Macaca fascicularis: one gene and its partners. The protein of the gene in region 5 purifies or fractionates together with the protein of the main gene of each other region. This does not show direct contact. Links are inferred from orthologs where the notes say so. Each region holds a gene or a part of one and is shown on either strand. Other genes may lie near its edges.

Region 1 (3,500 bases), on a different chromosome or scaffold from region 5:
GCCCCACTTACTGCCACGTGGCAGACGTTGTCAACTGATTGCCACAGTCTGTCTCCGCTGAGAATCCTGGCAGCCCTGGCCGGTCCGGCGGTTGACACCTGTCCACCCTCCTGAGTTGGGTTCTCCAAGACAGGCAAGGATGAGCTGAGCCCTGTGGTCCAGGCCCGGAGCTGCACTCCATAGACACAGTGTACATGGTCCTGCCCCTCTGCCTGGTGCACGCTGCAGGAGTAGCCCACCTGCAGCCAGTTTACCTGGTGGAAAGTTGCCTTCGGCCTGGGGCTGCAAGGGGCGGGCAGTTCTCAGAGTGTTCAAGTGGGGTGCGGGCGGCTGAGGGCAAGCAAGGCCCTTTTCCCTGCTGGAGTAGCCAGGATGCAGTGACTGACGCTCCCATGGGAAGGGATGGCCTCTCTAGAAAGACCTCGTCTCTGAGGTTGGGTGTGCCACATCCTGTATCCTCAGTTTATCTGTTTCCGTCTCAGGGTATCTGCTTCATCCGGACCAGCCGCCCAGAAAATGCTATCATCTATAACAACAATGAGGACTTCCAGGTCGGACAAGCCAAGGTCAGTGCCTCACATGCCCCAGGAGCCCACAGAGCTGCCTGGACCCTCCCTGCTGTGACTCCCAGCAGTCAGGGCCCACCCTGTCCCGAGGCCCTGAGCCTCACTTGCCCTCTGTGTCACCCCCAGGTGGTCCTGAAGAGCAAGGATGACCAGGTGACTGTGATCGGGGCTGGGGTGACCCTGCATGAGGCCTTGGCTGCCGCCGAGTTGCTGAGGAAAGGTGAGAAGGGGCCTCCAAAGTCATCAACTGAATGGCCACTGCATGCTAGGTCTTGGGGTTCTTTCTTTCTTGAAGAGCTCACAGCTAAAGAGAAAGAATTTCATTTAATTAAATAATGATGGTAATTAAAGCCATCCTTTGAGCACTTGTTCTGTCTGACATGATGCTAAGTCCCGGGACTGCAGTGCTCACAGTCCCTACCCTATGACTCTAAGAGATCCCCCAGCACGGTGGTCAGATCAGTGGCCTGGAGCCTGCCCGCAGGGCTGGAATCACTCAGCCAGACGCTAATTAAGGAAGTTATTCCCTACCTATCACCATGCCTGTTTTCCCATCTGTAAAATGGAGATACTAGCCCCTTCCCCGCAGGGCTGTCCTGAGGGTTACATGCATGTGACCTGGTATTCTATTATTATTACTGCGAGCTCACAGTGTTGGCTAGTGGTTTGTAGGGGAGACAGGCATTGGCCTCTCCTGCAATAGAATCACACAACAGATGTCATGTTTTAGCACGAAAGAGCGGGCAGGTGTGGCATCTTCCAGAAAGTGGCCTCAGAGTGGGTAGGAATTGATCGGTAGAGAGGGGAGTAAAGGGAGGCCGGAGCAGGGCCAGGCAGGAGCAAGATGGGGCTGGAGGAGCCAGGGGACCCCATCCCCAGGCAGGGGGAGATCCAGTGGGGTGAGCTTTAAGCAGGGCCTGGCAGGCGTGGGTTTGTCCTTCTGAGAAGGTGCTTCTGCTGCTGGGGCTGCACCTGGGCCTCTGATCACTCCGCTGGCTGCAGCTCCCCCACATCACCACATCAACCCTCACCTTCTGTCAGGCCAGATACCTGGAGTGTGTCCTCTCGCATTCCCTTTGTCTTCGAGGTTGTGGGAGGATGAGGGAAGGCGCTCAGGGCCTGCACACTCCACTCTGGGTTCTTGGATACTGCAGGCAACACAGCTGGACCAGATGCCCCAGTGCAAGGGGTTGGCAGGCATAAGCTCAGCCATGGGAACAAGGTGGCAAGTGGTTCTCCCTGGGACAGGGACAGGCCCGCAGGCTGAGCTCTTAGCTAAACGCAGTCCTCAGGATGTCCCACCAGGCCCCCACCAGGGCAGACGGTGGTGCCCAGCCCTCCCCTCAGCCATGCCGTATGCTCTCCCTCACAGAAAAGATCAACATCCGCGTGCTGGACCCCTTCACCATCAAGCCGCTGGACAGAAAACTCATTCTCGACAGCGCTCGTGCCACCAAGGGCAGGATCCTCACCGTGGAGGACCATTATTACGAAGGTAAGGAGGCCTGGGGCAGGCAAGCTGGGCAAGGGGCAGGGCCAGAGAGCCCGAGCATTGGACGTGCCTCTTCTGTCTGAGCCCCAGGAGGGCAGCGGTGGCCCAGAACCCCCAGAGCTGTCCCTCTAGAGCAGCTGGGACGTGGTCTCTTAACAGGCCTCAGGCTTGGCCTGGAGACCCAGCTAACGCACAGCTGCTGGTGAGCTCTGTGGAGCTCCTGCTGCCCAGGAAGCTGGCGAGGATTCCAGCCTCGCTGCTAAATGGTGGATGGTGGTGTCCCTGAGGTAGTGGTGAGTCCTTCACACAGCAGGCTCCCTAAGTACACACCAGCCTCTCTAAGGAGGAGGCCCCAGTGGGAGAGATGGGCTTTGACTCTGGGGTCAAATCTAGATAATCAGACTATGGACAGTTGCTGGCCAGAGGATGGTGTTTGAAACAAACATTTAGAGGCCACGTTTGGGCCTATAAAAATAGTTTTGGGCCGAGTGTGGTGGCTCACGCCTGTAATCCCAGCAGTTTGGGAGGCTGAGGATGGCAGATTTCTTGAACTCAGGAGTTGGAGACCAGCCTGGGCAACGTGGCAAAACCTGACTCTTTAAAACAATAAAAACAATGAGTTATGTGATGGGCTCGTGGCTGCAGGTGGAGAAAGGCGGTGCGTATGCAGCTTCCTCCATCCTTGACTAAGGCTGACAGGGCTGGGCCCACCACTGCTCACCCTGAGGCCTCGTCTGACTCCCCTCCTTTCATTTCTAGGTGGCATTGGTGAGGCTGTGTCCAGTGCAGTAGTGGGCGAGCCTGGCATCACTGTCACCCACTTGGCAGTTAACCGGGTACCAAGAAGTGGGAAGCCAGCTGAGCTGCTGAAGATGTTCGGTATTGACAAGGATGCCATTGCACAAGCTGTGAAGGGCCTCATCACCAAGGCCTAGGGCGGGTATGAAGTGTGGGGCGGGGGTCTATACATTCCTGAGATTCTGGGAAAGGTGCTCAAAGATGTACTGAGAGGAGGGGTAAATATATGTTTTGAGAAAAATGAATTGGCCCTGAAATGTTTTCTTCTTTGATGTGTTTGCAGCCAGTGTGGGTTCTGGGGAAGAAGGGTAGAGGGTGCGCTAGGGAGGCTGGTGTCCTTGGCCCTGGGCCAGGACCTGGGTGTCCCAAGTCCCCTTGGAATCACCTGCAACTGCCCTTAACCTCCAGAACTATCACTGCCTCCCATTCATCACCAGGTGACATTTGACTGCAACCTGCCTTCTTGCTGAGAGGCTGAGACCCACATCCCTCATTGTGACCTCAGTCCGCCCAGCCCTGAGGGGGCTGGGGAACTGCTCGGTCTGGAAGCTGACGGGGCACTCTCAGGGCTGCCCCACCTCCCCCAAGTCCCCACAGCCTTGCAGTCAGGTCTCAGGGTAGAGAGGTTCACTTGCTTACTGTCC
Region 2 (3,500 bases), on a different chromosome or scaffold from region 5:
CTCTTCAATTCTTGGGAAGGAGAAAGATAAAAAGATGGGGAGGAAAAAAGAAAAGTCAGACCTCAAGTTGTAAGTTTTCCCATCCTAGATGTGGTCAGACACAGCCCCACTCCTGGGAAGTTGAGAACACAGAATCTGTCCACCTTCTTCAAACCCTCTAAACTTGTGCTTCTCTGAGAAGCCAGATTTGGGAGGCCAAGGTGGGAGGATCACCTGTGGTCAGCCTGACCAATATGGTGAAACCCCGTCTCTACTAAACATTCAAAAAAGATTAGGCAGGCATGGTGGTGGGCACCTGTGATCCCAGCTACTTCGGAGGCTCAGACAGGAGAACTGCTTGAACCTGGGAGGCAGAGGTTGCAGTGAGCCAAGATTGCACCGCTGCACTCCAGCCTGGGCGACAGAGCGAGATCCGTCTCAAAAAAATACAAATAAATAAAATTCCGCAGCAAAAAAGAATGGAAGTCTGAAGCTATGACTGCCCCACTGCACTCCAGCCTGAGTGACATGGCAAGACCCTGTCTCAAACAAACAAAATAACAAAAAAGCCCTGTGTCTACTGTTCACCTGCTTCTTTGTGTGTGTATGAAAATTCCCAGGATACAGTTTTAATGAAGGGGTAATAGGGGAGAACTTAGGAAATGGGTGTTGTTTCCCTACAAGTCCAGAAAATAACTAAAAAGGGGGTTTGTATCCCAGTGGTGCCTGAGTCAGTGGGGGAGTGGTATATTATAATATTGGCCGGGTACAGTGGCTCACGCCTGTAATCCCAGCACTTTGGAAGGCTGAAGTGGGCGGATCACCCAAGGTCAGGAGTTCGGGACCAGCCTGGCCAACATGGTGAAGCCCCATCTCTACTAAAAATTACAAAAATTAGCTGGGTGTGGTGGTACGCCTGTAATTGCAGCTACTCGGGAGGCTGAGGTGGGAGAATTGCTTGAACCTGGGAAGCGGAGGCTGCAGTGAGCCGAGGTCGCACCATCGCACTCCAGACTAGGCAACAGAGCGAGACCTCATCTCAAAAACACAAAAACAAAAACAAAAAGTGGGTGGCGGGGGGACCGGGGGACAGGGGGACAAGTCTCCTGGTGTTCAGGGGCTTCTCAAGGACACAGACAGGAAAGGGAGACCAGAACAGCCCCACAGCACTGAGAAGTGGAAACCCAGCCATGTGCCCTTTGACTTTTTCCTCCTCTCTCCAAGCCCTGGCTCCATATCCAAAACGGTTAAATGTGCTGAAACAGATCATGAAGGGGCTCTCTGAAAGCTCTAAGAAAGTCATGGATCAGCTGTCAAAGGGGGTCCCAATCTCTCTTACGGGAAGAGGGCAGCACTGTGCGGAGGAGGTTTCTGCCTCTGATGGCACTGCAGGGGTTGGGGTCTAGGCCTGCTTAGGGCCTGGCTGGCTGCACTGTGCGCCTGCCCCTGTACCTGTTCCCAGAGCCAGGAGCTCCTGGGGGAGGGCAGTGCCTACACTGAGTGCAGCCCCAGCGGGTGAACCACAGGCCCCTTGTTCTCCAGAGCCCTCCTTACCTGAGGAGCTGGTTGTACTTGGCCAAGCGCTCAGATCGGCAAGGGGCACCAGTCTTGATCTAGGAGAAAAGAAAAGCCATTTGCTTATAGTGGACAGGCTTTGCAGGCATTTCTGGCAGGGAGAGGGTGTGATGTCAGAGAGAGAATTTCTAGAGGATCTGAGCCTAGGAAAGGAGGGGCTACAACATACAAGCAGGGCCCTCATGCCCCCATTCTGTTCAGGCTCAGAAACCAGGACAACAACTCAGCGGACATGAGCAAAACAGGGACAGACACGGATCTTCACTGGTTTTGGGTCTTCCAGCAAGTTGAGGTCAGAGAGAAGAAAGGAGGAGACGCTCATTCTTACCTGCCCAGTGCACAGCCCCACAACCAGGTCAGCAATGAAGGTATCTTCAGTCTCCCCAGAACGATGAGACACCATGACGCCCCAACCATTGGCCTGGGCCAACTTGCACCTAGAAGCCAAGAGACAACCTGGATGGCATGACCCCATTTTCTGGTGCCACAAACCCCAATGCCATTACCCCTCGGTGCCAGCAGGAAAGCAGTGGAGGGGCTGTTAATGGCTAAGGCTCTCCATGCCTGGGCTCTGTCAAGAGCACAGAGGACAACCCTCACCCTCCTCTGAACTCTTCCACCCCCAGGACCTTCTTAGCCCTCTTCATAGTTGAAACACTGGGTTCAGCCTCCCTTGATGGGAGAAAGACTAGTGTTCTCTGACTGAGCTCTTCACAGAATACATCTGCTTGTTATGTTGCCCAGGCTGGTCTTGAGCTCCTGAGCTCAAGTGATCCTCCTGCCTTGGCCTCCCAAAACGTTGGGATTACAGGTCCAACATTTTGGGCCTGTAATTTAAAAGGGTCCCGAGTTCAAACACAAAACCTGTTAAAATCCCAAGGTGTCCTACATTCTGGCCAGCAGGATTCCCCATCGACAGAACAAAAGGGCCCTTTTCTGATTCACAAGCCGTAGCTGCGGGAAAGCTGCTTGCCTGGGAAGACACTTACGCCTGAAGCGACTCGGTCACGGAGCCAATCTGGTTGACTTTGAGCAGGAGGCAGTTGCAGGACTTCTCGTTCACGGCCTTGGCAATCCTCTTTGGGTTGGTCACTGTGAGATCATCCCCGACTACCTGGATTCCTGCACTGGCCGTGAACTTCTGCCAAGCTCCCCAGTCATCCTGGTCAAAGGGATCTTCGATAGACACCACTAAGGAGAGGAGGTACACGCCTCATCAGTGTGATCCTCCCAGTGTGCTCCTCTGCAACGCCCAGCCTTGCTTCCCCCTAGACTTGCTGCTCGCCTGGCCTCACACTGCCCAAAATTATAGGACAGGGATGGCTCCCCAACTGATCCTTGAAACAATGTGCCCCACCAACCTACTCCTGCAGCAGGGGACAAGTCACCCACAATCCTGGGTCAATAGATCTAAAACAAAAAATCTCACTCTGTCACCCAGGCTTGAGTGCAGAGGTGCAATCATAGCTAACTGTAGCTGCGAAATCCCGGGATCAAATGATTCTCCCACCTCAGCCTCCTGAGTCGCTGGGACTACAGGGGTTTCCCACCCATTCAGCTACTTATTTTAATTTTTTTGCAGAAATGAAGTCTTGCTATGTTCACTAGGCTGATCTCAAACTCCTGGGGTTCAAGTGATGCCGTTTTAGTCTCTCCAAGCGCTGGGATTCCAGGCGTAAGCCACTATATGCCCAGTCTCAAAAAAACTTTTTAAGACCTATATAAGAAGAGAACACTTATTTGTCTAGGGTGGTTTGAGTTTAGTGCCACTGAAAATCAGAATGGAGCCAAAGACTCAGAAGTGAAAAGACCTGAGTTTGGGTCTTGGCTCAACCTTGACTAAGTTGTTTAGGGTAGTGGTTAAATGCACAGACTCTGCAGTCAGATTTCCTGGTCTGAATTCTTGCCCCACTATTTGCTGTGTGCTCTCGGGCAGATTATTCAAC
Region 3 (4,004 bases), on a different chromosome or scaffold from region 5:
ATAAAAAAGATCAGATAAGCTTCAGGACAATTGTTTAAATATTTTACAGATTTTGGCAAGCCAGAAGGTTATATATGCTACTTATGTGTAAGAACATCTTACGCTTTTTCGCAGAAGAGGAGGTTGGAAAATTGTGACATGTTTGGGAGTGTATGGAAGTTAACCAATGAGAGAATGGAATGGATGAAGGTGTTGACAGAAAACCTTGACAGATTAAAAAGGAAATTAAGATCACTGAAATACATACTTACAAAAGGTTAAGATGGTAAATTTTATATTTTTTCCATACTTAAAATTTTTTAAAAAAGGAAATTAAAGCTGCCAACAGCTTCGAGATCAGAGTTGGAAACTGGCTTAGAACCTTAACCCTAGGTAGTAAAATTCTAACAGAAAACTCAAAGGGCTGTGAAGCAGTATGTCAAAGGTATGTGGGTTAGTTTAGCCTTCCAGGAAATGAAGGAGTGAAGCTATTTGTTTATTTTTTAAAATGAGTGACTAGCATGTGATGGACGCTGTCCTAGAAGCTGAAGAAGCAGCTATGCACCTAACAGCTGAACTCTCTGCCTGCAAAAAACATACTGTTTCAAAGCAGGGTTTGTGATACAACTTGGGCTCTTCAGAGACAGGGGCTATGTGATTCTGAACAATCTGGGGCCCCGGCTGTGTGTTCCTGACCACGTCACACTTTCTGAACACCCCATATTTCCAAATCTTTCTAACTCCACTGTGCTTTTACTCTGAGATAGCTACCGCCCGTGCTGAGCTCCTAGAATGCTCACATGCATGCCTTCACGTCTTAGCCATAAGGGCTAATACATTTTATGACCTGCTTCCTAATAACGCCAGGCATAATTAATGGCTGCTCCACTCAGAGACCATGAATTAGGCAAACTCTTCAGGCAGTCACCCGCACCTGCCTTGAAATGCCAAGCCTTGCCTTCAAATCATCTCAGCTGATTCAAGTCCTGGTTATTTACCTATTGTTAACTTACATCACCTATGCTTTCTTGTCATCGTCAGTTCAGCGTATTACCAAGTCCTTGTTTTACTTAGCAGTATGACACAGAAGGAAAATCCAATTCTACAAGCTGAACTCCAAGGCAAACATAATAAAGGTGTTTGTTTTTAAAAGATTTCCAACCCTAGTCGTGATCTTCTGAGACAACCTTCGTGTACTTTCCATGCAATCTTTCTGAATATCCCAATGCAACCAAACACTTTGATTCTACATCTTAACCCCCCTCTGGCCTTAGCAGATTGGATACCAAAGGCTCATTAGTGTGTGTGCCTAAAATAGGGACTGATAATACCCATTTAGTTGTACAAAACAGAAGGAAACCGTGAGCCTTCTGATTGTAGAGAATGAACCATCTCTGCCATCAACATCTCCGGCCTCTTCAGCTTGAGCCTAGGCACCTGTCCTATCTGGGGTCAGAACACGTTATTCAGTTAGTTTTGCACTTCCTCCCCACCTGTTCAGTGTCCTGCAAGCACACTTAAGCTCTATAGTATCTACTGGGCACAGAGACAGGCTTGGGGAATGCCAGGAGGCAGTACAGTTAGCACCAAATTACAGTTCTGCGGGGCACGATACGCCTTCAGGACAGTCCTACCTACACAAGTCTCACACTGAAGGGACAGTGTGTGGCTTCTTCAAACATCTCCCCAGGGGAAACTGTCTTGTCTACTGTGTGATTGGCTGACTCCCATGACAAATTTCACCCTGTCCGCAGCCAAAGGGTGAGGGAGACAGAGGCGCTATCTAGGGCTCTGTAAAAGAGGAAGCAGGGAGAGCAGGCACATGATTGGTGTTGAGAAACAAAGTTGGATACTGTCTAACCACTGGCTGCAGAAACGTAGTTAGATGCAAACATCTCACATTTTATGTGGAAGAGATTTTAGGTGAGAGGGGAGTTTTAGGCAGTGCTCGAAACTGAGGACTTCCGCCATTTGAGTTATTACCAGGAGATTTGAGGAGAGGCAAGAGGGTGAAATTGGCCTATAAATGACAGTCAGCTTTGGGGAATTCCTGGTCCCTCAAGAGAGCTTGTCTAAGCCCTTCAGGTAACTTATCCCTTTGAACGTCCTTCAAATAAGGAGCTGTCACTTTCCTCCCCAGCTCTGGAGCTGGGGAACCGGGTGTCCCCTCCATCCATGTCATTTGCCCAACAAGGCCTCAGAGCAAACTCCCTCTTCCACTTAGTATCCTGCTCTCAAACTAGGGTTCCTGAGCACCCAAGGTGTCCCTTAAGAAGCAGTAGGAGGGTGGGGGCAAGAGCGTGGGTTCAGTCCGTGTGGCGCTGGGCAGATCGCCTGCCCGCTCCGGGGGCCGTTTCCTCGTCTGCGCAGTGGGGTGGTGAGGGTCTGCAGAGCGCCCCGGGGTGGTCCACCTCCCCTCCCCCAGGACACTTCCCGGCCGGGAGCCCTCACCGCCGAAACGCTTCCTCCAGCAGGGTGCAGGAGGGGCCCGCCGTGGAATTGGGGCTGTGGCTGATGTAGAAGTTCTCCGGGGCAAGATGCAGCAGGTTCGGGGTCATCTTCACCGAGAGCGGCAGGGGCCACAGCGCCGGCCCCCGCGCGGCCGAGACGCCCGGGGCCCGAGTCGCCTCCGCCACCTGCACCACGAGCGCCACCTGAGTCAGCAGCGCCAACATCGCCGCCAGCAGCGTCGCCAACAGCAGCGCCAGCAGCATGGGCGGCCGGGGCAGCCCCAGCCCGCACAGCTCCATGGTCGCTCAGCTGCTTTCCGAGCTGAAGCCTCGGGATCCGACTTTCCGCCCGGCCAGGTCAGAGGAAGCGCGGCCGCGGGTGAGTCACCGAGTCAGATGACGGCGCGCCCCGCCCCCGACTCCGCCTCCAGGCCCCGGGCGCGCCCTCGCCCAGCCCGCCCTGCCCAGGCCACCTCGAGAATTTCCTCCGGGCTGCCCTCGGGTAGGAGCAGAGCCCAGACAGCAACCTCAAACACGGGATGGCTAAAATAAGAAAAATGCCCGGTGCTGGCCGGACGTGGCGGCTCACGCCTGTAGTCCCAGCACTTTGGGAGACCGAGGCGGGCGGATCACCTGAGGTCAGGAGTTCAAGACCAGCCTGGGCAACATGGTGAAACTTCGTCTCTACAAAAATACAAAAATTAGCCGAGTATGATGGAGGGTGCCTGTAGTCCAGCTACTCGGGAGGCTGAGGCAGGAAAATCTCTTGAACCCGGAAGGCGGAGATTGCAGTGAGCCGAGATCGCGCCACTGCACTCCAGCCTGGGTGACAGAGCAAGACTCCGTTTCAAAAAAAAAAATAAAAATAAAAATAAAAAAATAAAATAAAAAGAAAGAAAGAAAAAGAAAAGTGCCCAGTGCACAGGCTGGGGATGCCAGCCCGGCACCAGGCCGCCGCCCGCTCACGCTGGCGACACTGGCGCTCTCCTTTAGGTCCCTGGCTTTGGTGAAGCTGGAGAAGCCAAGCTTGGGGAGCACTTTTCTCCTCTCAGCTCAACCACCAGATAACTGATGAGAGCTGAGTTTATTTGCTCCTAGGTTGAGGCTTTTCTGTAATGGCATTTCAGCTGTAGTCAATAAAGCCTTCCCGTCAGAACTCCTTGGGGCAGAGCATGCCCAAGAAATCCTGAGAGAGAACTCTTGGCTTATCTGTGTCGATCCCGATAAAGGATCCCAACTGACTAGTTTGATTTCATAACCCATCCCTAAGAAAGAGCCAGTGAAGTCACATGACCAACACGGACTGGCCATGCCAAAGGGAGAAGAGGTGTTCTCTTACTAGAAGGAAAAAACGCTAGGCTGACCAAAGCCACAGATCTGCTCTAGTAAGTATTCTGAAAATGAGGGTGGAAGAGCTTTAAGGAAAGACTTCAAAAAAAAAAAAAAAAAAGGAATGATTAGGCCGGGTGCGGAGGCTGACACCTGAAATACCAGCACTTTGGGAGGTGAAGGTGGGTGGATCACAAGTTCAGGGGTTCGAGACCAGCCTGGCCAACATGGTGAAACCCCGTCTCT
Region 4 (4,007 bases), on a different chromosome or scaffold from region 5:
CACTAACGAATCATCTAGTAATAAGTCTGTCTCCTAAGAAGAGACAGAGAAAAGTATCAGAAATCCCTGAAGAGGCTAAGGGCCCCCACTGCTCCCCACACGACCATGTTCCTGTGGTGGTCAGGGGAACACTCACCTTCCCAAAGGCCCCAGTGGGATCAGCCAGGAGCCGAACCTGCAGAGAAAGGAAAGGTCACAAGAAGAATATCCTACCTGGCCCTGACTCCCTGCAGGCCCCACACCTCACCTTGCCTTCCGCCTTGTGGGCTCGGCCCCACTCGCCAGTCACAAAGGCATCATTAACACTCAGACAGGCCAACACCTGGACTCCCTTGGCCTTCAGAGCCTCAGCCTGCTCCACAAACCCTGGTAGGTGGGTCTGGGGAAGGGGAACAAAGGGTTGGCAAAGTGATAACTGCATCTGCCCCCTAGCCCACCCTTCATCTCCAGGCCCTCCTCACTGCTCTGCCTCAACACCTTTGATCAGACAATGAGAGTTGTCTAAACCACTCTATTTCCTTTTTGCCTTGGCCACTAGGAAGCTCAGAATGAAACCTAATGCCTTATGGTCCAGACGTGAACTTTCCATGGGCAGAACTATGTCTTAGTTATCTGAGTTCCAAGCACCTTCCAAAGTGCCTGTCATTTAGCAGGACCAACAGGGGTGTTGGATTTAATTGCAATATGTTTTTCTTCAACATTCCTGGTACTGTTCCCTTTTTGCAGTCTCTATTTTTTTTTTTTTGAGACGTAGTCTCACTGTTTCGCCCAGGCTGGAGTGCAGTAGCACAATCTCCACTGACTGCAACCTCCGCCTCCTGGGTTCAAGCAATTCTCTGCCTCAGCCTCCCCAGTAGCTGGGATTACAGGCACTCGCCACCACGCCTGGCTGATTTTTTTGTATTTTTAGTAGAGACAGGGTTTCATCATCTTGCCAGGCTGCTTTTGAACTCCCAACCTCGTGACCCACCAGCTTGGTCTCCCAAAGTGCTGGGATTACAGGCGTGAGCCACCGCGTCCAGCTCTACTTGTTTTCTGATGGCACTGAAATGCTTTTTAGGAGTCCTGTCAGGACTATGTGGACGACTTAAGAACAACACAAGAGATCCCAGGTCCTGATCTTCAGAAGGGGAAGGGCCTCACCTTGGAACATCCAGGCGTGAAGGCCCCGGGAACTCCAAACAGCACACCCTTCTTGCCCTTGAACAGCTCTGCCAGGTTCACCTTGTTCCCTGGCTCCCCTTCAAACACCTCCACTGCAGGGATGGCATCTCCCACCTAGAGGGAAGGACTCCAAGGTAAGGGGGGTGAGGGAGCGGGGCAAACCATAGGCAGGAAAGTGAACAGAGCGCCTGGCAGCCGGGCCTTCAGGAGCCGGGGCTGAAACCCAGCAGGATGCTCCAGCCCTGTCAGAGTTTCCAAGGGCCCTCCCTGCCCGCTCACACCGGGTTACCCCATATCCTCTAGGTTTCAAGATGGCCCTGCTCCTTTTAAGGGGCCATTGGTGACAACAGAGAAAGGGAGGGAAGGCTTCCCCTAGTGTCACAAAGGGTTACATAACATGCTGTCTGTTACAGGAAAGGAGTGGAATAAAATGGGCAGGGGCTAGAGGGCTGTATTTGGAGGTGAGGAGGAGTCCCTGACAACATGGAGGGAGAGGATCTTGGGCAGGTCTGAGGGTCCCACCCTCAAGAGGAGAAAGAGGGAGGGCAGCGGCAGGTGGAACACTGGGGGAGGCTGTCCAGGCCCCTACACCCAGGAGGGGTACAACAAAAGAAGGAATCTTTTGAAGGGGGAAGGATCCGCCCCTGGAGTATGTGAGGGCTTCATGGGGCCAGAGTGGGTAGGGAGAGAGAGTCTGAGGTGGTGGAGTCTCTGAGGAGCCCAAAGGTTGGCAGCAGGATGAAGTAGAAAGGGAATGGGGTCTCACAGGGTTTGGGAGGAGAAGGGGGAAGGTCCAAGACCCCGGGGACGGTTCCAGGAGGTGAGTGAAAGACGAGCAAAAAGGTGGGAATTCGCCATGGGAGGAGGGGAGGGCGGAGCGGGATGGGGGAAGCCCCGGCGGGGGCACTAAGGGACAGCTGTTTCAGAAGATATGGGAAATCAGGCCAGGAGCGGTGGCTCACACCTGTAATCCTAGCACTTCGGGAGGCCGAGGCGGGCGGTTCACCTGAGGTCAGGAGTTCCAGACCAGTCTGAACAACAGGGTGAAACCCCGTCCGTCTCTACTAAAAATACAGTAGCCGGCCGTGGTGGCTCCCACCTGTAGTCCCACCTACTCAGGAGGCTGAGGCAGTAGAATCGCTTCAACCCGGGAGGCGGAGATTGCAGTAAGCAGAGATTGCGACACTGCACTCCAGCCTGGGCGACACAGAGGGACTCCATCTCAAAAAAAAAAAAAAAAAAGAAACAATGCCTCGGAACTGCCCCGGGAGGTGAGGTCCCCACGATTGGCGAGAAGGGTGGGCAGCCACGAGGGCCTTCTGAAGGGATGAGCGGGGCGGCCGGCGGGGAGGGGTCTGGCAGGCAGGAAATAAGGCGATATTCCCAGACCAGCGCGACGGGGGTTGGCATGGGGGTAGTGGGGGATGTCAGGCCCGGCCGGGCCAGCGGTCACCTTGATCGGGGCCATGGCTGCAGCGGTTCTGCTGAAACTGCGGACCCCGCCAGACGCCCACCCTCCTTCACTTCGCCGTCTTGCTGCTGCTGTCGCTGCCACAGACTGACCGGCGGCCCCACCGAGTATATAGCCCGCTGAGCGTCTCAGGACGCACACGCCGGCTAGTCCCATACCCGCCCTAAGACCACTTTCACTCCGCCCCCTAGCTGGGGCCACCGCAGCAGGCGGGGCACGGCTGGAGGCACTGCTGCGACACCCTGCGGAAGGCGGGCCTGGGCCGCCTCCACTGCGCAGGCGCGAGCGGCCACGCGTGTAACAGAGCTTCCGGGACCCTCGCCTCATTTGCCTTGGGGGCTAGCTGGACAGCAGACGCAATTACAAATTGGGCAGAGCTTTCGGCATTGGGGCAGCTAATTTGCATATAAGAATGAGGTGCCGCTCGGCTTCCACGGGTCTAATTTACAGATAGGGCAGTATTTCTGCCCCTTAGCCGAAAGCGGGGTACAGAAGACGACGGTGTTAGGCGCCTGTGTAGGAGTAAAACATGTTTATTTTGCATTCAACGAGAGCCCCTGCATTGCAGCTATTTTGCATATGATTTGCATGATACGACGGATTTGTGCAAAAAAAAAAAAAAAGCTGGGCGTGCGCTGTAGGAACCTCCTGCTGAGACGCTTCCGGTAGTGGCGCGTGACCCGACAGGTCTTTCACTTACCTAGCTCAGCTCCCGCAAGCACGAGAATTTCCAGTAAGTTCGCCACTTCCGGTTCTCCTGGCCAACCAATAGCATCGAGTGGAGCATCCCCGGAAGTGACGAAGCGGAGGACGCCCTCTTTCCGGTTCCGGCCTGACGAGAGCCTGTTCGGCGATATGAAACTGCTCACCCACAATCTGCTGAGCTCGCATGTGCGGGGGGTGGGGTCCCGTGGCTTCCCCCTGCGCCTCCAGGTACCACGGCGGGCTTCCCTTTTCGGGTGGGATGGTGGGCCAGGGTCCAGTGCTTGCCTAAACTCCTCCGCCCTGCCAGGCCACTGAGGTCCGTATCTGCCCTGTGGAGTTCAACCCCAACTTCGTGGCGCGTATGATACCTAAGGTGGAGTGGGCGGCGTTCCTGGAAGCGGCCGATAATGTGAGGATCCTTACCCCGCCCGAGCATATCCCGGGGAGTGCGGGGCGGGCACACCTCAGCCGGGCTGAGGCGGGAGTTCGGGATGCCCGGAGATAATTTCGCCTCTTGCCCACAGTTGCGCCTGATCCAGGTGCCTAAAGGGCCGGTTGAGGGATATGAGGAGAATGAAGAGTTTCTGAGGACTATGCACCATCTGCTGCTGGAGGTGAGAAGCGGCCCATCACTTGCTTCCTGGGCCACCTGCCTCCCTCACTGAGG
Region 5 (3,988 bases):
GGACGTTACGAGTAGATCTCAGGACTAAAATAAACACATCATCCACACCACACCGTCATACATGTTTGTGTCTCTTGTTTTTAGCTTGGTTTTCAAATAGGGACAACAGTTAAGGGGCATTAACCCTTAAGACATGACTTTCCACTGGAAAATACCACTGCTCAAACGAAGGATTCTGGCAATTGCGGCCTTTTAAAAATTCTTTTCTTTTTCAGAATAGACACTGTGACTCTTCTACAACCTCTAATTTTGGAAAAACTCAAATGTGAAAGTTGTCCCTCAAATATGCTGTGTTATCAAGAGCACAGGGCCAAAAAGAGGAGGTTCTTTCAAACCTCCATTTAACGGGTAATACATTGGGAACATGTAAGTAGCTGTGCTTAGGTACAACCCTACAGGGACCAGGCTGTGAACTCAAGTGAGTAACACAGGCCTGGAAAGCTCCAGCAGTACTGTCCTGGGCTAATGAAGGCTCAGTATGAAGAGATCTCCAACAATTCTTCAAGAGAAGCTAGGAAAACTGGACTATTAGGTGAAAGATTCTGATTTGTAAAAACTAGCCACGAGTCTAAGATTTTAAACACGGAATAGGCCACGCCAGGTAGTTTATAGCCAATTTATTATCTCTGCATATCTGGAAAGCTGGAATGCTCCACTATCCAAGGCTCTTTCTCAGGTACAAGGGGCACCAACCAAAACGAAGTCAGGCGCTTAAAAGAAGGAACTATGCACGCTGCTCAGGGAAGGTGGAAAATGACAGAAACCTGGGTTCATGCATGGATTCTCAAAGGCCAGGGAGAAGGAATTCCACAGAGGCGTCTTAAGACTAGTACTGGTGGCCGGGCGCGGTGGCTCACGCCTGTAATCCCACCACTCTGGGAAGCCGAGGCGGGTGGATCACCAGGTCAAGAGATCGTGACCATCCTGGCCAACATGGTGAAATCCGGTCCCTACTAAAATACAAAAAATTAGCTGGGCGTGGTGGCACGCGCCTGTAATCCCAGCTACCCGGGAGCCTGAGGCAGGAGAATTGCTTGAACCCAGGAAGCGGAGGTTGCAGTGAGCCGAGATCGCGCCACTGCACTCCAGCCTGGGCAAGAGAGCAAGACTCGGTCTCAGAAACAAAACACAACACTAGTACTAGTGAATTATGTGGGAATAAGTAAAGAGGGACAAAACGAAGTCTGACAAATGAAACAGCAAAATGGAGTCAAATGCCAAAGAACCTTTTCCAGAAAATCTGGAGACGTATTAAAGAAAAAAGCTAAACTCGTATCTCCCTCATACACATTTCAGACACTTGCACAGACTAACTGTTCCTGTCCTCTCACCTTTCTGTAAACACCTTTAAAGACTGAATCTCATTCATATGATAAATATTCTCTCATGACTTTTAAGCCGAGTACGAGACAATTTTCCACCAGTTGGTAACTTCACTAAGGCTCTGGGGGACAGTGTTATCACAAGCACCTTCCTTGCAAGACGTTTTGCAATTTTACTGATAATAGTTATGAAAATATTTCTGTACATTTTACAAGAGTCGTTCAGAAGTTTGTCTCTGACCATCTTAGCAACCTGCCTACTGGCAGAGCAATTTTAAAGCCACTTCACAGAAAATGTGGCTTAAGAAATGCTCCGACAAGAGTTACTAAGTACCAATTCCGTGTAATGGAAACTTCAGGTCTTCCAATTTCCAAATCCCAAACCCCACCCACTGTCCTCAAACAACAGTCCTCAATCGTAGGTGCACATCAAAATCACATTTGGAAACTTAAAAAACAGCAATAATCACCTGCGCTGGGACAGGTTTTGATGTAATTGGTCTGAGGTTGGGCTCTGGTGTATTTTTAGTAAGATCTTCAAATAAGCTAACTGTGCACCCAAAGTTAAGAATCATCGCCCTCGAAAGTCCCCAAAACGGTCAGTTAAAACTCTGGCTCTCGGAGCTTAGGAGGAGGAAAAGGACCTCTATCCAAGGCTACCTTCTCTGCCCTTGCAGCCCAACCATGACCTAGAACAGAGGCCAACAAACTCCTGCAAAGTGTCACACAAACGGTCTCTGTTGCGTATTTTTGTTTACCAAAGCCTTTTAAAAATATAAAACCCATACTTAGCCTTAGAGCTGTACAAAAGCGGAGACTCCCTGACCCAGAGCGCTGAAGCTGGAACGCGGAGAGGGATGCTAAGACACCAGCCGGGCCCAGGCGCAGTCGCCACCCCGGGCCGGGCCTGTCACTGCGCCACTCGGTGTCCGCGGGACCCTCAGGAACGAGAACACAGCCAAGCAAGGGAGGAGCACAGCTGCTCCAAGCACCACGACAGAGCCCGCGGCGGCCGCCCACGGACCCCGGAGGGCAGCACGCCCACGCCCGCCCCCGCGGCAATCCCTCCCCGCGCTCCCGCCACGCGCAGGCCCAGCCCCGCGGCGGCCTCGGTCGCACACCCCGCACCCGGGCCCGCCCGATGACTCAGCACTTAGCCGGCACCGCACCGCTGGGGGCAAAGGCACCGACCGGGCGGCGCGGCCCGAGGCCGGGCGCGGGACCAGGGCGGTCCCGAGGCCTGGCTGGCCACCCGCTCCTAGCACAGGTGCTCGGGGCGACGAGCGGGCGGGAGCGGCCTCGCAAACAAGCCTCCGCCCCGGCCCTTGCCTTCTGCTCGAAATTGATGGTGCCCTGCACTGGGCTGTCGCCCTTCAACACGCACACGGCCTTCATCGCCATGACTTGCTAGGCCACGCCGCGGTCCTGCTTCCGAATATTGCGAGACTGACCGCAAACGCTGCAGGAGACTATGCCGCAAAGCGGGATCACGGCGCCGCGACTACTTTATAGGCCGGACCTCCGCGCCCCGCCCACTCTGGCCCCAAACCAGTCACAGCGCACGCGCTCAGCCCGCCCCCTGCGGCAGCCTCGGGACGCGAGTGGCAGGAAATGACTGGGGGCGGGGCCAAGGGGCCGCGTGCGCCTCAGACTTCCCCCCGCCCCGCAGCCGGGAAAGGTCCAGAACCCCGAAATGGAAAAAAACACAGCCTTTTTTTCACGGGGGCGTGGCCCGACGGTTGCAGGACGCGAAATTGGCAAAATGATGTAAACAAGGTACGCCTTGAAAATCTGAAGTCACTTTGTCTAGAAATGTCATTGGTTATGACTGACTTTCGCCACAGCATCTCATTTGTTACTCAGAAATTAGGACGGCCCAAGATGGATGCTTTTGTAGTTTTCTTTTTTTTTTTGTCTTGTTTTTTAATTTTCTGAGGGCATAGAAAGTCGCTACACCTCAATCCCTGGCCTCACCTTTTCTTCCCCTGCAGTTGTTTTAGTCCTTAGCACATAGTTTCTTATTTGGTTGGCAGAATTCGGTATTCTTTTTATATTTTTCCTGTTTGGCAACGCTACAACCCCACAGATAACCAAAACGGCAACTAGTTGGCTTCTAGGCATCTCCTGCGTTTTTGCCTGGCCCCAAGGCCACAACACTCAAGGAGGGTAGAATGGTGAAATAATTTGTGATGTCTCCATACAACAGGAATGATAAATATGACTTACCTTTCAAGGGAAATATTTCAAAAACTTTGATGAAATGAGAAAATAGTACAAACTACTTTTGTCCGGGGCAAAGGGGTTGTTTATTTGATTTTTGAGACAGGGTATTGCTCTGTCACCCAGGCTGGAGTGCAGTGGCACGATCATAGCTCACTGCAGCCTCGACCTCCTGGGTTCAAAAGTCATCCTGCTGCCTCAGCCTCCCAAGTACCTGAGACCACAGGCATGTGGCACCACACCTGGCTGATTTTTGTATTTTGGGTAGAGATGGGGTTTTACCATGTTGCCCAGGCTGGTTTCAAACTCTTGAGCTCAAGCCAGCGGTCTGCCCACCTCGGCCTCTCAAAGTGCTGGGATTACAGACATAAGCCACCACGTCCAGCCTAGTATTTCGTACTGAGCATGGCAAAATACTCAGACTTAATTCAAGTCCAGCGTGAAAC
Region 6 (3,990 bases), on a different chromosome or scaffold from region 5:
AGTCTCGACCTCCCAGGCTCAAGCGATCCTCCGGCCTCAGCCTCCTGAGTAGCTGGGACTATAGGTATGCTTCACAAGCCAGGCTAATTGTTGCCCAAGCTGGAGTACAATGGTACGATCTCGGCTCACTGTAACCTCCGCCTCCCAGATTCAAGAGAACTCCTGCCTCAGTCTCTCAAGTAGCTGGGATTACACGCACATGCCACCATGCCCAGCTAATTTTTTTTTTTTTTTTTTTTTTGAGACGGAGTCTCACTGTGTCTCCCAGGCTGGAGTGCAGTGGCGTGATCTCGGCTCACTGCAAGCTCCGCCTCCCGGGTTCACGCCATTCTCCCGCCTCAGCCTCCCAAGTAGCTGAGACTACAGGCGCCCGCCACCACGCCCGGCTAGTTTTTTGTATTTTTAGTAGAGACGGGGTTTCACCATGTTAGCCAGGATAGTCTCGATCTCCTGACCTCGTGATCCACTCGCCTCGGCCTCCCAAAGTGCTGGGATTACAGGCTTGAGCCACCGCGCCCGGCCAATTTTTTTGTGTTTTTAGTAGAGACGGGGTTTCACCATGTTGGTCAGGCTGGTCTCAAACTCCTGACCTCAGGTGATCCACCCGTCACAGCCTCCCAAAGTGCTGGCATTACAGGCGTGAGCCACTGAGCCCAGCTCCTTTGTCCACCTTGGTTGAATGTCAGGAGTATTTGTCTCCTACCACACTAGAAACTTCCTGCAGACAAACCCCTGAGCTGAATCTTCTTTGGGGCCCTAACACCCATCTGGACAGGTCAGAGGACAGGCAGTGAATGTTTGCATGAGTGACAGAGGCACTGAGTATGTACCCATGTGTCATGTGTGTTTCTGCTCACCTTCTCCATGCTCGTCTGTGTACTGGAAGGCCTGGACCAGCCGCAGAGCCTCATCCACGGAGCGTCCCACAGGCAAATCATTAACAGTGATCTGGCGAAGGACACCCTTGCCATCGATGATAAATAGGCCCCTGAAGACATCAGGGTTCCCAGTAAGGAGCTGGGAGCTCCCACTGCCAGAGACAAGGAAGGGACTACCAACCACCCGCTGCTAGCCACAGGGCTGGGGGCAGAGAAGACATTGTACAGGAGTGGTTCCAGCTCCACAGGAATGGGGGGTCTCCATGAGCCGGGCTGAGGGTCCCACAGTACCTGTAGGCAATGCCTTCATCTGTTTTCAGCACGCCATAATCCTCAGACAAGCGTCTGGTCACGTCAGCAAGCAGGGGGATGTTCAGGGGGCCCAAGCCTCCTTCCTTCCGGGGGGTGTTGATCCTGGGAGTAGAGGAGATAGAGTTGGGGCCTCAGGATGCCTGGTACAGCCGGGTCCTCACCCTGTGGGCCCAATGTGATAAGCACTGGAGGCCAAAGATAAGGGGCTTTAAAGTAGGCTGCTGGGAGCCTCACCCACCCCACCCTGGGTTGGGTACAAGGACTTCCCACAGCTGGGAAGACTAAGCTTGAGAGGCCACGCTCCAGCTAAGTGGCTTCACATGTGCTTGTAACTTGCAGCATCACCCAGGAGAGAGCCCGTGTTAAGAGTCCCCGTCCTCCTCTAGCTGTGTCATGGGGTACAGCTCTTCACTTAGGTGAACCCGAGTTTCCATCTTTATGAAATAGGGCAGCACAGCCTCCCTCCTGGGAACTAGTAGATAGAGCAGATAAAGTTGCATCTGAGTTGCATCTGCAATTCTATGTGCCAAACAACTAGCTCAACTAGCTGCCAAATGCTAATTACTGCCATCCTTAAAAACTTGGGCGGCAATATTTCCATTATTTTCAAGATGGGGAAACGCAGGTTCCAGAGATTAAGCAATGGTCATGAAGCCACACAGCTCGGACCCGAGGGTGTGAGCTTAGCTGCAACCTCCTTCTCTGGCCCCTGCTCATACCAAGCCAGGTGGGTGAACTGAGAGTCCACCGAGACGCCCAGCACTTCGCAGCCCAGCTTGCGGAAGTCCTCGGCACGGTTGCTGAACGCGATGATCTCCGTGGGGCACACAAAAGTGAAGTCCAGAGGGTAGAAAAAGAGGACCACGTACTTCCCTGGGGAGGAGGGACCAAGAGGAGTTAGGGCCCAGCCTCTCTCATGCACGGCCCCGCTTCTGCTTCTACCTGGGTCCGCTCCGGGCTGCGCTCACCTTTGTAGTCCGACAGCTTCACCTCTTTGAAGGCGCCGTCAACCACTGCTGTGGCCTTGAAGTCAGGGGCTGGCTTTCCGATGCGCGCGTTACCGGAGGCCATGACTGAAAGCTGAGACCCCTGTCCGGTCAGTGCGCCCGGGAAGACCCTTTGTCCTCCCACCCCAAGGTCGCGCTGCGTGCTGGGCCCTGTGACTGAGTCAGCACGGCGGAGGCGACAGCACCAACCCTCACCCTCCCGGGTACCGGGTCTGCGAAGCCCAGAGGCTGCCGGAGACCCGCCCTCCTGACCAGAGCACGAGTGACCCAGCCACTGCCACTAGCACCCCACGAGCGAGTGGGCCGGAGCGCGGTGTCGCAAGCCCCAAGTCCAGAAGGAGACAGTGAGGCCCCCTCGAGCAGGGGGCGGGGAACAGGGCGATCGGGCCTGCACTGCAAGGCTGTGGCCTCGGTTTCCCCCGCAAGGACAAAGGAGGCCACTACAGCGGATGGAAAACAAAGGCGGCCAGCACTGAGGTCAGGATCCGGCCAAAGCAGCTTGAAGGGGGTCCTCCCGCCAGGTGCACTCTGTGTGTCTATACCTGCGTGGGCAAGGGCTAGACGCACGGACGATCACACGTGTGGACCCGCGTTCTCAGCGCCAAGTGAGCCCTGGGCCGCGAAGCCTTTTATGCCCGGCCCGAACCAAGATGTGCGCTGCGCAGGGGAGGGAGCAAACGAGCCGAGCGGTCGGGTCCACTGCACCCTCAGGTGCGGGGGAGCGTGCGGCCGAGTCCATGCGCCTGCGGGAGCCGGGGGGAGACGTGTTGCCTTCGGCCGGGACCACTGCACCGGCTCGCGGGGGTAATGCGGCCGCCGCAGACTCCGCGCACAACTCTCCCTGCGAGCGCGCTGGGTGCCGTTGGAGTCGGGCATGGCCCGGACCCCGGCGGCGCTGCTGCTGGCGCCTCTGCTACTCCTGCCGCTGGCGACCCCTGCCCAGGTCTACCAGGACTATCAGTACTTCGGCCAGCAGGGCGAAGGTGACACCTGGGAGCAGCTGAGGCTGCAGCATCTAAAGGGTAACCTCAGGCGGCGGGGGTGACGATGTCCATAGGCTCCCCGTTGCCCTACTTCTCCTGCTGGCTGCAAAGGGACCTTCCTCCGCGGGCTGCAAATCTCCACCCAGCTCTGCACTGGAGGCGTCCCCTTGGGCTGGTTACTGTTCTCTGAGGCTCGGTTTACTCTTGGATACGTTGAAATAGATACTGCTTTAAAGCAGCTCCCAGGGGAAGAGGGTGTGGGTAGGACATTGAAGCTGTCACTCGGGGATAGGTGCCAGGAAGGGCAGAAGCAGAGCAAGAAGGGGGCGGGCAAGCTTGGGAAGTCAGAGAGGGTCCGGTTGCAGAAGACCCGTGACCAGTGCAGCGAGAACGACAAGCGAAAACCCCAAATGGAAAGATTTGGGGAAAGAATGTCCAAGAAAGAGGGAATAGCAAGTGCCAAGGTGAAAAGGCCTAAAGGAGAAATGGGAAGAGGTCGGTGAGATGTGGCAGAGTGGGTGTGGGAGGGTAGCAGGTGTCAGATCTTGGTGAGCCGCGAGTTGGGATAAGATCGGACTTGGAGGCCTGGCGCGATGGCTCAAGCCTGTAATCCCAGCACTTTGGGAGGCCGAGACGGGCGGATCACGAGGTCAGGAGATCGAGACCATCCTGGCTAACATGGTGAAACCCCGTCTCTACTGAAAAACACAAAAAAACTAGCCGGGCGAGGTGGCGGGCGCCTGTAGTCCCAGCTACTTGGGAGGCTGAGGCGGGAGAATGGCGTAAACCCAGGAGGCGGAGCTTGCAGTG
Region 7 (4,073 bases), on a different chromosome or scaffold from region 5:
ATCAAGACCTGAAATGGACCACAGTCAGCATTAATTCTTACCAAGTGAATACACTGCACGGTTTGAAAAAGTCAAGTATTACTTGTGGCAGATTGGATTATTTTTCAGAATTAGTCACTCCCCTTCCCCCTGCATGGGTGGAGTCTACGTCCTGTCCCTTGATTTTGGGTTTGGCCTTGTTTTGGTCCATGGAATGTGAACAGACACCTGAACAAAGCCTTGAAAAGTCTGCCCTGATGATTAGGTTGTGCTCTTATACTGTTGAATTGCTGTAGGAAGAGCTTTTCCCCCAGGCAAGTTGCTGCTGTTCCCTCAACCTGGGTTTCAGAATGAACATGTGGAACAGAGTGGCCCCAGCCAACCTGCACAGCTAACAACCTGAAGCAGAGTTACTACAACCCAGTGGCAAACTGTAGCAGCCAGGTTTTGCTATGGAGCAGTAGTTAACCCATGCAGCAGCAGCCCTCTAACTCAGTCCTTCCCCTTAGCCCTGCTCCCCAGAAGCAAGTATTTTCAACTGTTTCAATTATTTCTTCTGGTAGTATATCAGTCTTTTGAAACAGTATGCTAATATTTTATTTCTCATTTATCATCTTTAGACCTTATATATTGACTTCCTGGCAGGTCTTATAATTTTCCTTCCACAGATGTGAAGGTTGAGGTCCAGAAGGGTGAAATGACTGTGTAAGGTCCTGCAGTCTTGGTCAAATTCAGATTACTGATGCTAAATTTCACACTCTACCCACCATATACTGTCTACCGATTAAAAGTCAGTTACACTCAAGACACTCTACAGTTCATGCATATTTCCCATCACACATAAAACCAAAAAAAATTTTACCAAAAAATACTGCTGTACTACTGACAACGAAGACACTTCTGAGTTCAGTCTCCAATTTCCAGGCAGAACCGCCCCCATCCTATCCACTACCTTTTTTTTTTTTTTTTTTTTTTGAGACGGAGTCTGACTCTGTCGCCCAGGCTGGAGTGCAGTGGCGCGATCTCGGCTCACTGCAAGCTCCGCCTCCTGGGTTTACGTCATTCTCCTGCCTCAGCCTCCTGAGTAGCTGGGACTACAGGCGCCCTCCACCGCGCCCGGCTAATTTTTTGTATTTTTAGTAGAGACGGGGTTTCACCGTGGTCTCGATCTCCTGACCTTGTGATCCGCCCACCTCGGCCTCCCAAAGTGCTGGGATTACAGGCGTGAGCCACCGCGCCCGGCTCCACTACCTTTTTAAATCAACATTTGACAACTCTTTATGCATCGCGGGAGGTACAAAGGAAGAAACTGCCGGTTTTATTTCTTTTTTAGAGACCGGGCCTGGCTATGTTGCCCAGGTTGGCCTCCACCTCCTGGGCTTAAGGGATCCTCCTGCCTCAGTCTCCCAAGTAGCTGGAACTACAGGTGTAAGCAACTATGCCTGGCCAAAAACGCCGTTTTTTCAAGGAACGTAGCTTCTCGTAGCAGTTGCAACTTTTAATGATGAAATATTGCTCTGCCTGTGAAGGTCACAAGGCAATAACAGAGAAATGGCGTTGACAGTGTTAGTAATAGCCACCCACAGCCATCTGGTCATCGTTCCAAAAAAACAACTCCCCTCAGAATTATCCTGATCTTAGCGGCAAAAAAAAAAACAAAAAAAAAAAAACAAAAAAAAAAAACAAAAAAAAACAAAAAAAAACAAAACTGCTCCCAAGTTATTGTTTTTCCATGGGTCGCTCTTAAATTTGGCATCTCATTAAGTAAACACTCTAAATCATTCTTGGCCGGGGCGGTGGCTCACACCTGTCATCCCAGCACTTTGGGAGGCTGAGGCGGGTGGATCACCTGAGGTCAGGAGTTCCAGACCAGCCTCACCAACGTGGCGAAACCCTGTCTCTACTAAAAATACAAAAAAATTAGCCAGACGTGGCGGTGCACGCCTATCGTACTGGCTACTTGCGAGGCTGAGGCAGGAGAATTGCTTGAACCCGGAAAGTGGACGTAGCAGTGAGCCGAGATGGCGCCATTGCACCCCAGCGTGGGCAACAAGAGCAAAACTCCATCTTAAAATAACATAAAATAAAAATAAAAAATAAATCATTTTCTATATTTCATCTAGAGAGAGCGCATCATTCTAGCATTTTGCCTTTAGTTATTTATTGCGTCTTCCCCAGTCCTGTGAACGCCGGGAGAACCTTCTTGTCTTGGTGGTTGCTGCATCCCCAGCATCTGTCACAGCCCCTGGCACACAGCAGATGCTGACCAAGTATTATCCTGCTTTTACCCTCTATTATTTGACAGCCTTCTTTATTGCTATAAATTAATATTTTACATTTGCAGAACTCTACAGTTTACAACGTGATTTCAACTAATTTCTTATTCCTATTTTAATCTTATTTCTCACGTCAAATTCATCTCACCGAACTACAAAATGAAGCAGAGGAGGAATCTGAACTGTAGTTACTGGGCATAAAGAAGCCCTCTGGGGCACTGAATAAACGTAGCTGACATCATCCCATAAAGGCCGGGTTCAGGCACGCCCTACAGAGGTCCGGCAGAAACGGCGAATTTCCCCTCTGGAGCCCCCGAAAGGTTAGGTCGGTGAGACTGGAGAAGAGTGGGCGAGCCCTGACATTTGAGGCGGCGCTGGCGCAAGGGGGAAATTCTGACACCGAAGTCTGTGAGGGGCCCCGGGAACGGCTTTGCCTCTGCGCCCACCAGTGTGAAAAGCACCCCCACCGTGGCCTACCAGACACAACTCCCACAGGACGCGGGAAACCGACCGGCTGACCCGCATGTCGTAGGTCTACTTCCGGCGGCCGCAGCACGCGGCACCCGGGATTGGCCGAGCCGGTGGCAGTGGGCGGGACCGTCGCGTGTTCCCAGCCGCTATCGCGGTCGCGTCGGAGCTTGCAGGTCAGATCCGTCGTAAATGCGCCGGGTGCTGCTGGGCTTGGCCTGAGAGTAACAGCCCCTAAAGGTCACTTCCTTTAGAGCGTCGCGTGTGGGTCTCTGCGCCCTGGAGTCGCTTTGCCTCAGCTACCTCGCCGACTTCCGAGGGGTGGGTACAGCCTGCCGGATGCAAGGCGGGAGGTCGAGCCCTTTGGCACCTGCTGGGGCCAGATTCGTCCTGGTGACCGCAGCCCACAGGCTCAGCAAAGAACGACGACGATTTGCCTGTTCCCATCCCGCGAGCCTTGGTGTATTGGGGAATCAGATGCAGTCTCTGATGGTTTAACCACCTCGTTGGTGGCTCATTGGAAAATCTGCAAAGCCCAGTGTGGAAGCAAGGCTGTGGCTTGGACAGCGTTTTCTGTTTGTTTCTCTCCGGTTGTTTATGGAAAACACTTATTGCCATCCCTTCCATGGCATCTTATTTCTTTTATTTTCTTTCTGAGAAGTAGAGACGGGGTCTTGCTATGTTGCCGAGGCTGATATTGAACCCCTGGACTCAAGCGATCCTCCCGCCTTGGCCTCCCAAAGTTTTGGGATCACAGGCATGAGCCACCGCCCCCAGCGAGCATCTTATTTCTTGAAGTGAGAGTAAGATCCCATTACTTAGGGTTTCAGTCAGGGGTTATCAAAAAGCCTTTTAAGATAACTTACTTGCAAATGTGAATAGCAATGCCTGCCCAGAGGTGAGTGAGGACCTAGTGAGATCTTACATAAAACACCAAGCTCAAAAGAGTTGAAATGTTGAGTCCTGTAATATTTCCGGTTATAATTCTCTAATTCCGTTTCCATAATGCTTTCAAATTCCAATACTTTGGAAACATACAGTGATCAAGGAGTTATGCCAGTATTTCTCTCAACGGGCAAGGCAAAATCCATATTCCACCCAGCGGTAGACACTTGAATGTAGCAAAACTTTTCTGGCCAACTCCCTATCCTTTACTGTATCCTAGAGATCCCTTCCTTATCTTGAGGCCCACCTACTCTGGAGGTTGGTAAGCAGTGGCTACACCCAGGATGAGAACTATATTCTGGTGACCTTTCGTATGTCTGTAGTTCTGTGAATCTGCTGAATTTGGCAGTGACTCCTATGTAGGGGATTAAAAGTTTGAATCCTGCTACAATGTGCTTCAACAAA

The links.
Region 1: the proteins of SOD1 (region 5) and TKT purify together in Homo sapiens (affinity purification with mass spectrometry; 3 studies listed by BioGRID, with this or other methods). This does not show direct contact. The link is inferred for Macaca fascicularis from reciprocal best matches to the Homo sapiens genes SOD1 and TKT.
Region 2: the proteins of SOD1 (region 5) and ENO1 fractionate together in Homo sapiens (co-fractionation; 3 studies listed by BioGRID, with this or other methods). This does not show direct contact. The link is inferred for Macaca fascicularis from reciprocal best matches to the Homo sapiens genes SOD1 and ENO1.
Region 3: the proteins of SOD1 (region 5) and HEXB purify together in Homo sapiens (affinity purification with mass spectrometry; 3 studies listed by BioGRID and IntAct, with this or other methods). This does not show direct contact. The link is inferred for Macaca fascicularis from reciprocal best matches to the Homo sapiens genes SOD1 and HEXB.
Region 4: the proteins of SOD1 (region 5) and PRDX5 fractionate together in Homo sapiens (co-fractionation; 3 studies listed by BioGRID and IntAct, with this or other methods). This does not show direct contact. The link is inferred for Macaca fascicularis from reciprocal best matches to the Homo sapiens genes SOD1 and PRDX5.
Region 6: the proteins of SOD1 (region 5) and PRDX2 fractionate together in Homo sapiens (co-fractionation; 3 studies listed by BioGRID, with this or other methods). This does not show direct contact. The link is inferred for Macaca fascicularis from reciprocal best matches to the Homo sapiens genes SOD1 and PRDX2.
Region 7: the proteins of SOD1 (region 5) and PARK7 purify together in Homo sapiens (affinity purification with mass spectrometry; 4 studies listed by BioGRID and IntAct, with this or other methods). This does not show direct contact. The link is inferred for Macaca fascicularis from reciprocal best matches to the Homo sapiens genes SOD1 and PARK7.

What each region holds. Positions count from the first base shown.
Region 1 is NC_088376.1:116,356,366-116,359,865, reverse strand, and holds the end of TKT (transketolase), read left to right. Parts: intron 1-482; coding exon 483-566; intron 567-692; coding exon 693-786; intron 787-1,938; coding exon 1,939-2,061; intron 2,062-2,817; coding exon 2,818-2,993; 3' UTR 2,994-3,097; downstream 3,098-3,500. UniProt on the Homo sapiens protein: Catalyzes the transfer of a two-carbon ketol group from a ketose donor to an aldose acceptor, via a covalent intermediate with the cofactor thiamine pyrophosphate.
Region 2 is NC_088375.1:225,996,234-225,999,733, reverse strand, and holds part of ENO1 (alpha-enolase), read right to left. Parts: intron 2,746-3,500; coding exon 2,544-2,745; intron 1,992-2,543; coding exon 1,883-1,991; intron 1,593-1,882; coding exon 1,534-1,592; intron 11-1,533; coding exon 1-10. UniProt on the Homo sapiens protein: Glycolytic enzyme the catalyzes the conversion of 2-phosphoglycerate to phosphoenolpyruvate. In addition to glycolysis, involved in various processes such as growth control, hypoxia tolerance and allergic responses.
Region 3 is NC_088380.1:78,673,900-78,677,903, reverse strand, and holds the start of HEXB (beta-hexosaminidase subunit beta), read right to left. Parts: upstream 2,801-4,004; 5' UTR 2,730-2,800; coding exon 2,431-2,729; intron 1-2,430. UniProt on the Homo sapiens protein: Hydrolyzes the non-reducing end N-acetyl-D-hexosamine and/or sulfated N-acetyl-D-hexosamine of glycoconjugates, such as the oligosaccharide moieties from proteins and neutral glycolipids, or from certain mucopolysaccharides.
Region 4 is NC_088388.1:10,075,291-10,079,297, forward strand, and holds the start of PRDX5 (peroxiredoxin-5, mitochondrial), read right to left. Parts: upstream 2,801-4,007; 5' UTR 2,792-2,800; coding exon 2,618-2,791; intron 1,279-2,617; coding exon 1,144-1,278; intron 380-1,143; coding exon 248-379; intron 176-247; coding exon 137-175; intron 34-136; coding exon 1-33. Other genes in the region: TRMT112 (multifunctional methyltransferase subunit TRM112-like protein), read left to right, coding at 3,491-3,568, 3,648-3,749, 3,865-3,954. UniProt on the Homo sapiens protein: Thiol-specific peroxidase that catalyzes the reduction of hydrogen peroxide and organic hydroperoxides to water and alcohols, respectively.
Region 5 is NC_088377.1:15,217,673-15,221,660, forward strand, and holds the start of SOD1 (superoxide dismutase [Cu-Zn]), read right to left. Parts: upstream 2,801-3,988; 5' UTR 2,724-2,800; coding exon 2,652-2,723; intron 1-2,651. UniProt on the Homo sapiens protein: Destroys radicals which are normally produced within the cells and which are toxic to biological systems.
Region 6 is NC_088393.1:13,188,668-13,192,657, forward strand, and holds the start of PRDX2 (peroxiredoxin-2), read right to left. Parts: upstream 2,801-3,990; 5' UTR 2,740-2,800; intron 2,271-2,739; 5' UTR 2,262-2,270; coding exon 2,159-2,261; intron 2,064-2,158; coding exon 1,910-2,063; intron 1,293-1,909; coding exon 1,170-1,292; intron 989-1,169; coding exon 858-988; intron 1-857. Other genes in the region: THSD8 (thrombospondin type-1 domain-containing protein 8), read left to right, coding at 3,072-3,219.
Region 7 is NC_088375.1:226,919,773-226,923,845, forward strand, and holds the start of PARK7 (Parkinson disease protein 7), read right to left. Parts: upstream 2,801-4,073; 5' UTR 2,733-2,800; intron 1-2,732. UniProt on the Homo sapiens protein: Multifunctional protein with controversial molecular function which plays an important role in cell protection against oxidative stress and cell death acting as oxidative stress sensor and redox-sensitive chaperone and protease.